Linked DNA regions of Rattus norvegicus. The protein of the gene in region 1 purifies or fractionates together with the protein of each later gene. This does not show direct contact. Links are inferred from orthologs where the notes say so. Each region holds a gene or a part of one and is shown in the gene's direction. Other genes may lie near its edges.

Region 1 (3,752 bases):
GACTGAGCAGCTACGGGATTCTCAGCCTTTCAGGTTGGAGGCAGCCATTGTTGGACTAGTTGAACTGCATCTTGTAAGCCACTCTAATAAGTTATATGACATATATATCCATGTGTGAACACACACTCATTTGATCAGTGTAACAACCCCTGGTACACTTTCAGTAAGATAGTAATGCTATGGGCATGGGAAAAAGCGAAGAGCCCTTACCTTTGAGAGGCTCATACTGGACTAGAGGCGAACTGATGGGGAGCATATAGCTGTGGAAGTTGGTGATGAGTAGACTGTTCTTTCGCTTTTATGCCTGCAATTCTTCACATATTTAAAGGAAGAAACTGGGACATTCTTGTCTCTGAAGCAGAGCTGTTTTAGCAGAACAGTCTTATCTCACTTTTAATTTGCAACAAGCGTTCTTAAGACTCCCATGAGTTAGGACATCTGTTAACAATTCTTTTATATGTGTGGTGGGGGAAGGCCTAAATGGAAAGTTTTCTTGCTGGTCCTGATGGCTCATTTCTGAACCTCTGGCTTTCCTGAGGCTCGGAAGAGACATTTGAAACCATGTGTAGCCTGGGCTACACAGTGAAATTGCCCACTCCTTCTAATTTTAAAAATTACATTAATTTTTTTTTTTACTTGTCGGTTTGTGGAAGAATTGTCATATACATCTTTGAATTCCTAAATGAAAATAAAAGTGAACGGAAGGGGGAAAATGAAGGTGTAGGATGTTAGTCTTAATCATGTTCCCAAATATCCCCATGTATGTATGAATATATCATGGAGTACAACTTGCTTTAAAAAAATTTTTTTTGATGATAAGGTTAGCATTGATATTTTTAAATATTGCTTATCTGTATTTTCTGACTTATATAAGGCAAATATTTAATTTTAAGAGTCTTATATAAAGGGGGTGGGCGGCGAGGAGTCGAATTACTAGAGAGTACTTTCTTTTACTAACAAGAAGTATGAAGAAACACTCTCCTGACCTGACCAAGAAGATAGACAAGAGATCTTTTCCCGGGAGAAGCGGGAGACGCGGGAGTGCGCATGCGCAGTATCTTTAGGGCGGGAGTAGGACCTGCTATAGGACAGGCTTCGTAGCCAATTAAAGGCCCGCGTCAGAGGCTTCTTCCTGAGAAGGCAACCGGAACTTGTGCTTCCGCTGCGCTGAGGAAAAAGTCGCTACGGGAAAAGCTAGAGCTGAGGTGAGCCGGCGCGGCGTTTGGCGACCGCAGCCAGAGTCTGTCTCTCCGCCCCCGCGGTTGCGTCTTTCCCGGCGCCACGCCGAGGTCCGGCGCGGGACAACCTGGGAAGCCCGGGCTCGCCTTCCTCCCACGTCCCTCAGCGGAGCCTCCCCGGGGCCTGAGGCAGGCGGCTGGCCGAAGGTGCGCGGAGTGCGGCTCGCTCCGGGCGTCTCGCGGACCGGACGACGAGCCGGACCGGAGGTTGGGAGGTCCGAGTTCTCGTCCCCACGCCACGGGCTTTTAAAGTGTCGTGGCCTTAGCCTGCCCTGTCGGCATTAGTAAAATGATAGTAGCCACCTGGGAGCGCGGAGGCTGGGGGAGGGGAGGGAGAGCCTCGGGCGGATCTTATCCTGTACCAGACTTTACGAGGGACAGGGACCAAGTGAGCCAAGTGTCTGAGCTTGCGACCACTCCCCCCCCCCGCCCCCCAAGCAAATGCTAGAAACTGAATTTTGTTAGTGTTAGCAAGTGAGGACATCCAGCGGCTCTGAAAAGTTCAGTTTAAACCGGTGAGGGCGGTTTTTGTAAGGTGGCAGGCTCTAAAACGGGATGCTTGAGTTATCGGGGTTTGCACTTCCGCGCAACAAAACGAAACAGCCAAACAAAACAAAACAAAAACGGAGTACAAATTCCCGTTATACATTTTACCCACTTCTGCACATTGGAAACTGGCTTCTTGTTTCTAAAATCAAATTGGGAATAGTTGTGCCGTTAGGAAGATAGAAGTGAGGATGCCGGTCACTTATTAGAAACCTTTGGGAAATGGGAATTTAGTATGGGTGTGGCTAAGGGAAGCGCAGATCTCATCTTCAAAAGCCCTCAGGGGACGAAATTTAGGCTGGGTGTTGACTTGATGTGACTGCAAATAGACACTAGTATCTTAGGTATATATACCCTGAAATAGTTGAGTTGGACGACCTGAAGAATTTGAAGTGACTTCCCTCAGATTTAATGTATTCCAGGTGTACGGAACCTGTATGTTACTTTCCCCTGTTACCTTGAATCTCAGTGTGAAAAAGCGCTCAAGAATCTTCTCATTGTATAATGTACTTAAACTCAAATTGGAAAAGCAGAGGGTATTTTGACCATATATGTTGCAGTGTTGGGACTTAGGTGTTAAATTTATGTAGAAAAGATGTTAAAATGCCAATTGTCAATAAAACTGTACTATAAGATGTTTGTAAGATGAGGCTTCCCTCAGAAACCTTGGAAAATTCTAGAAGTATGAAATTTAACAAGTGATTTTTGTCAAGACGTATAGAGAATCTTAAGTGTTTGGTTTTGGAAATCACTGTACAGTAGAAAGCAAAGTGAGATTGATAGACACCATATGTAGTTTGATTATGGAAAAGAGAAATAAATAAGGCATATGACTTTGTATATAACTGTTCTTTCCCAGAGTAGGTTTCAACGTATGCCTACCAAAAGGAGTCAGGCATGAAAAAGAAGTATATCATATACCATGTATAAGCCCCCCAATACAGACCCTTTTCTCTTAGTTTTCAGAATATATGTTTGTTCTTTGAGAATTTTATACACACACACAAACATGTGTGTTTTGATCATGCTTGCTTCCTCACTCGTCTAATATCTTGCAGACCACTACCATATCTTACTCCCAATTTTATATATTTTTAAAATATTTTCTTGGTTTTTAAAGATGGATCTTTAGCACAGGCTGGCCCATGTAGTTCAAATGGGCCTTGAACTCACAGCTATCATGCTTCTCAATCATTAGGACTCAACAACCATCATGCTTAGGGCAGTTTAAAAAATTGTTTAAAAATAACAGTAAATAAAGTCCTCTGCAAACCCGCAGTGGACTCTGCTGCTTGTTTTCCCACTTTGAATGCTTTATTTACATTTGTCAGGTTATCTACAATGTGTGAGTCCTTAATGCTAACATCATTTTTTAAACAAGCAGAACAGATCTTACTGAACGATCATATGAGTGCTCTTTAACAGGTGAGAAGGGCTCGAAGAGATTAAAAATAATCGTAGGATTTCCAAGTGAGGCTGTTCCGTGTTCTCAGAATTTCCTTCATAGACAAGGTTTGCACACCTCGACTTGGGTGTGTAGTTAGACACTAGACATGTCTCATGGTTCTCACTTCTGTTATCCTCACTGCAGTGAACATGGCGATTCAGCATTTTAAAGCCTGATTCAGTTAAGCAACAACCTGTAGTCTTGGGTGAATAGAGTTAAGAGCCAGGACACAGCAGGCCGTAGGACCAGAGCAGGTATTGTAAAGAAGACATGGTACCTGGGAGTCCGTGACTAAGTATGTGTAAGTGGTGATTCTACAGTAAAAAGGAGCCTGCCATTGTCCACTGTCAGTTGCAGAAATTGTACAATGGGAATTTATACTTGAATGTTGGAACCATAACTCATGCTATCACAAAGTAGACAGAGGGCAGACCTTTTTGGAAGGCCATCTTTGTGTGCAACTTTCTGCACCTTCCCTGCTCTATCCCATTAGTCTAACAAGGGACTAATCAGATCTTCAT
Region 2 (3,752 bases), about 14 Mb from region 1:
GCTTCCTGTGGTGAGAAACATTCTTCTATCAAAGACACTTGGTCCCACAGAGTCTGTATTTCCTAACTCCCCCTTTTTCCCTTTGAGTGATTAGCCCATTGAATCATATTATGAAAGTTGTGTTCCCACCAAGGGGATGAAATGCACCTAGGTCAGAGATGGAAGACAGTGGGCATTTTGTTGAGTGTTTTTACTCTGTTGGCTTGGGTTCTGGTACACTCATTTTTCAAGAAAAAACAAATCACTTTGTTTCACTTTTGTTTCTGTCTTCCTTTTAGCAACACTGAAACTATTCTTTCCCCCTCCGGACAGTGCCTCTGTTTGGAGAACTATCTGCAGCTCTGAAGAGAACAATTCTGAGACCTGTAACTAATAACCTCAAAACACCATTGTGAGGTTCTACATTCCTGTTTCTTTTTGCTTATGTGATGTGGGCTCCTTGCCCCTCTTTACTGACATAGATCTTTTTTTTTTTCTTTTTTTTTCGGAGCTGGGGACCGAACCCAGGGCCTTGCGCTCTGACATAGATCTTATCACCAAGGACAGATGTCCTCTCCCAAGTGACTGCTTCCCTCATTCCTGGTTTTTATTAGTCAGGATCAGGATTACTGCTACCCTTGTCCAGAAATTTACAATAGAGCTCTTTTGCTTCAAATGAATAAATGCAAGCCTATCAGAAAGTTCTCCTATTTGGTCCAAGAGCTTAGTCTTAATATACATATGTAGTCTGGCACCTGCTAGATGCAAACTAAATGCTTGAAGAACGATTAGTTTTTCCCTTGGCAGCCATGTGGGCTGAGTTTGTATGGCGTGTTTTGCTGTCGCCAGTCTAGGGCCCTCCTGGAGGCTAGCGTGACACAAAGAAGTGTAGGTTCTTGTCATCTGGAAGCTCGCTGCCGCAGAGCCCCAGTTTCACACGGTGCTCACTAGCGTCATCCGTTCTTCCTGTTAGTCCCGGGGGGGTGGTCCTCGTTGGTGTTTTGACCTCTCTGTGTCATGTGAACTAGAAAAAGATGACTGAAGTAGATACCCTAATCTTGACTACTCAATTTAGCTGCCCTGACACTCGTCGCCTAGCAACGCTCGCCCGCCTACGCCCAGGGCGCAGACTCAGAGCCTTTTCCCGCCCGGCCTCCCGGGCGCTTAGTTGTGACGCAAGCATCCCGCGACCCTCGGCAGCCGCAGGACGTGTGGTACTATGGCTTCTTCTGGGGTGGCGGGTGGGAGACAGGCTGAAGATACGCTACAGCCACCGCCCGAGCTGCTGCCCGAGTCCAAGCCGCCGCCGCCGCCTCAGCCTTTGCCTGTCGCCGCGCTCCCGCCGCCGGCGGCTCCGCGGCCTCAGTCCCCCGCTGGCGTGAAAGAGGAGAATTACTCTTTTTTGCCGTTGGTTCACAATGTCATCAAATGGTAAGGGCCTAGGAAAGGTCAAGACACCACCTTTTGCGGCTTCCGGTGTCCGGGGTTCCGAGCTGTCTAAACCCGGCGCTGTGGACCACGCCCCATTTTCCCAGAGGGCACACACTGTACTCCCAAGTGAAGTCCACATACTGGTCAAATGCTTAGGTTCTGCAGTGCACTGTTCCTGGTCCCATCTCAGATCCTGCGGTGGCTTGGTGATGGGTCTCAAGTCCATACACACGTAGCCTGAAGACAATTTTATACAATAGTTTTAATTCACCTGCGTTTGACAGTTCATATGAAGCCTAGCATGAAATTTCCCACTTGTAGTATCATGTGAGCCTTGAAAAGTTTTCGAATTTTGGTGGACCGCAGATGTTCAGACTCTAGATTCTCACCTTGTACACAGTTTAGTTCCCATTTCAATGTGAGGCAGCATCTTACCTGTGTGACTGTGTTAAGTACTAGGGTTGTACACAGGAAAGGACCAGCCGTTTACCCTTACAGGGCTTAACAGTTAGAAGCAAAGAAAAACAAACAATAAAAACACTTTTTAAAGTGGAGAGGAGAGTAGTGATGCTAGAAAACATTTGAAACAAAGACACAGAAATTGCTCCAAATGATTGTGTCCCGCTATTAACTTTATTCTTCTCTTTTTTTATTTTTGGTTCTTTTTTTTTTTTTTTTCCGGAGCTGGGGACCGAACCCAGGGCCTTGCGCTTCCTAGGTAAGCGCTCTACCACTGAGCTAAATCCCCAGCAACTTTATTCTTATAGAATATCCAAGGATGTGTCATCTTTTAGACCCAAAGTCTCCAATCTCTACGATGGCCTGTGTTTTGTTTCTTCCATATACACTTGGGTCATTTCCAAGCGGTACACTGTTGTTCTGCAGGCATTCTCCATTGTGCTTTAATAAACTTAGGTGGTGCAGAATAGTTACTGCCTGGCGCCTTTTGGTGCAGTCAGGATTCTTAGCAACAGTGGGAATTGGATGACTTGGTTGGTAAGAGCACTTGCTCAAGTACAAGCACAAGGACCTGAGTTTGAATCCTTAGCATCCACATAAAAAGCCAGTCATGGCTCTCATGCCCGTAGCCCCATCATTTCAGGACTACAAACAGATCTCGAGAGCTCTGGCCAGCTAGCCTGGCTGACACTGAACTTCTATTTAATATGAGACCCTGTCTCAAGGCAGTAAGGTGAAGCTCCAGAGAAAGACACTTAACTCTCGCATGCCCACTCAGACATTCACAGACCTGTATAACACCCCACACACATACAAGACGCACCACATATACCAAACAAACAAAAAAGAGGAAGTAGCTGCTGGTGTACTAGGACATTCTGTTCAAAGGGTGGATTTTATTTTTAAACTTATTTAGACAGGGTTTTTTTTTTTTTTTGCCTTTGGACTTTTGGTCCTGCTGTCTCAGCTTCCTGAGTGCTGGGGCTCGAGGTATGTACCACTACACCTAGCAACTGTGACTCTCACAGTAAAATGTTCAGTATAAGTCCATAAGCTAGTGACATCATTTGTTATTGTTATCAAGCAGTAAGAACTACCTGTAATGGTATGTGTTACACTTATCTGTCCGCAGTGTAACTGTTTGCTCACACAGTGGTGCATTGGGCTGCAACATTACCACATCTACTGTGTCATTAGGCAAAGGAAGGTTTTGGTTACTTTATAAGCCTTAGACTATCACTGTATATATGATCTGTCATTGGCCAGGTTATTTAGCACATGAGTGTATAGCCACAGGACACTAGGTACAAACCCCTGAATTTCTTCTAAACCATTAAATAGTAATTAAACCATTAAAAAGTAAATTAAGACAAGATTACAGTTCCAGTCATATTTATGGACATCAGCATGCCCTTTTGTTGAAGTTGAGGCAGTCTAGGTTTCTTGCTCTGGTGGCTTGGCGCTTGTCTTAGGGCTATTGCTGTGCTGAAACACCGACTAAAAGGACGAGGAAAGGGTTTATTTGACTTACACCCCGTATCATTTTTTTCTCATTGGAGGAAGCCAGGGCAAGAACCTGCTGACAGGGGCTGAGGTAGAGGCCACGAGGGATGCTTACTTCACACACCTTACTGAGTGTGCTTTCTCTTCCTTTTTGATTGTTTTTGTTTCTCCCTGTATTCCTGGCTGTTCTGGAACTATTTGTATACCAGGTTGGACTCATACTCAGAAATCTGCTTCCCTCTACCCCCATGTACTGGGATTAGTGCCATGGGACACCACTGCCCAGCTTCAGCATGCTTTTTTTTTTTTTTTTTTTTTTCTTTCCGGAGCTGGGGACCAAACCCAGGGCCTTGTGCTTGCTAGGCAAGCGCTCTACCACT

Evidence for each region. The genes of interacting proteins can lie anywhere in the genome.
Region 2: the proteins of Med7 (region 1) and Med9 purify together in Homo sapiens (affinity purification with mass spectrometry; 5 studies listed by BioGRID and IntAct, counting the BioPlex papers as one, with this or other methods). This does not show direct contact. The link is inferred for Rattus norvegicus from reciprocal best matches to the Homo sapiens genes MED7 and MED9.

What each region holds. Positions count from the first base shown.
Region 1 is NC_086028.1:31,353,878-31,357,629, forward strand, and holds the start of Med7 (mediator of RNA polymerase II transcription subunit 7), read left to right. Parts: upstream 1-1,159; 5' UTR 1,160-1,205; exon of another isoform or gene 1,206-1,753; intron 1,754-3,752. UniProt on the Homo sapiens protein: Component of the Mediator complex, a coactivator involved in the regulated transcription of nearly all RNA polymerase II-dependent genes.
Region 2 is NC_086028.1:45,249,049-45,252,800, forward strand, and holds the start of Med9 (mediator of RNA polymerase II transcription subunit 9), read left to right. Parts: upstream 1-1,180; 5' UTR 1,181-1,198; coding exon 1,199-1,410; intron 1,411-3,752.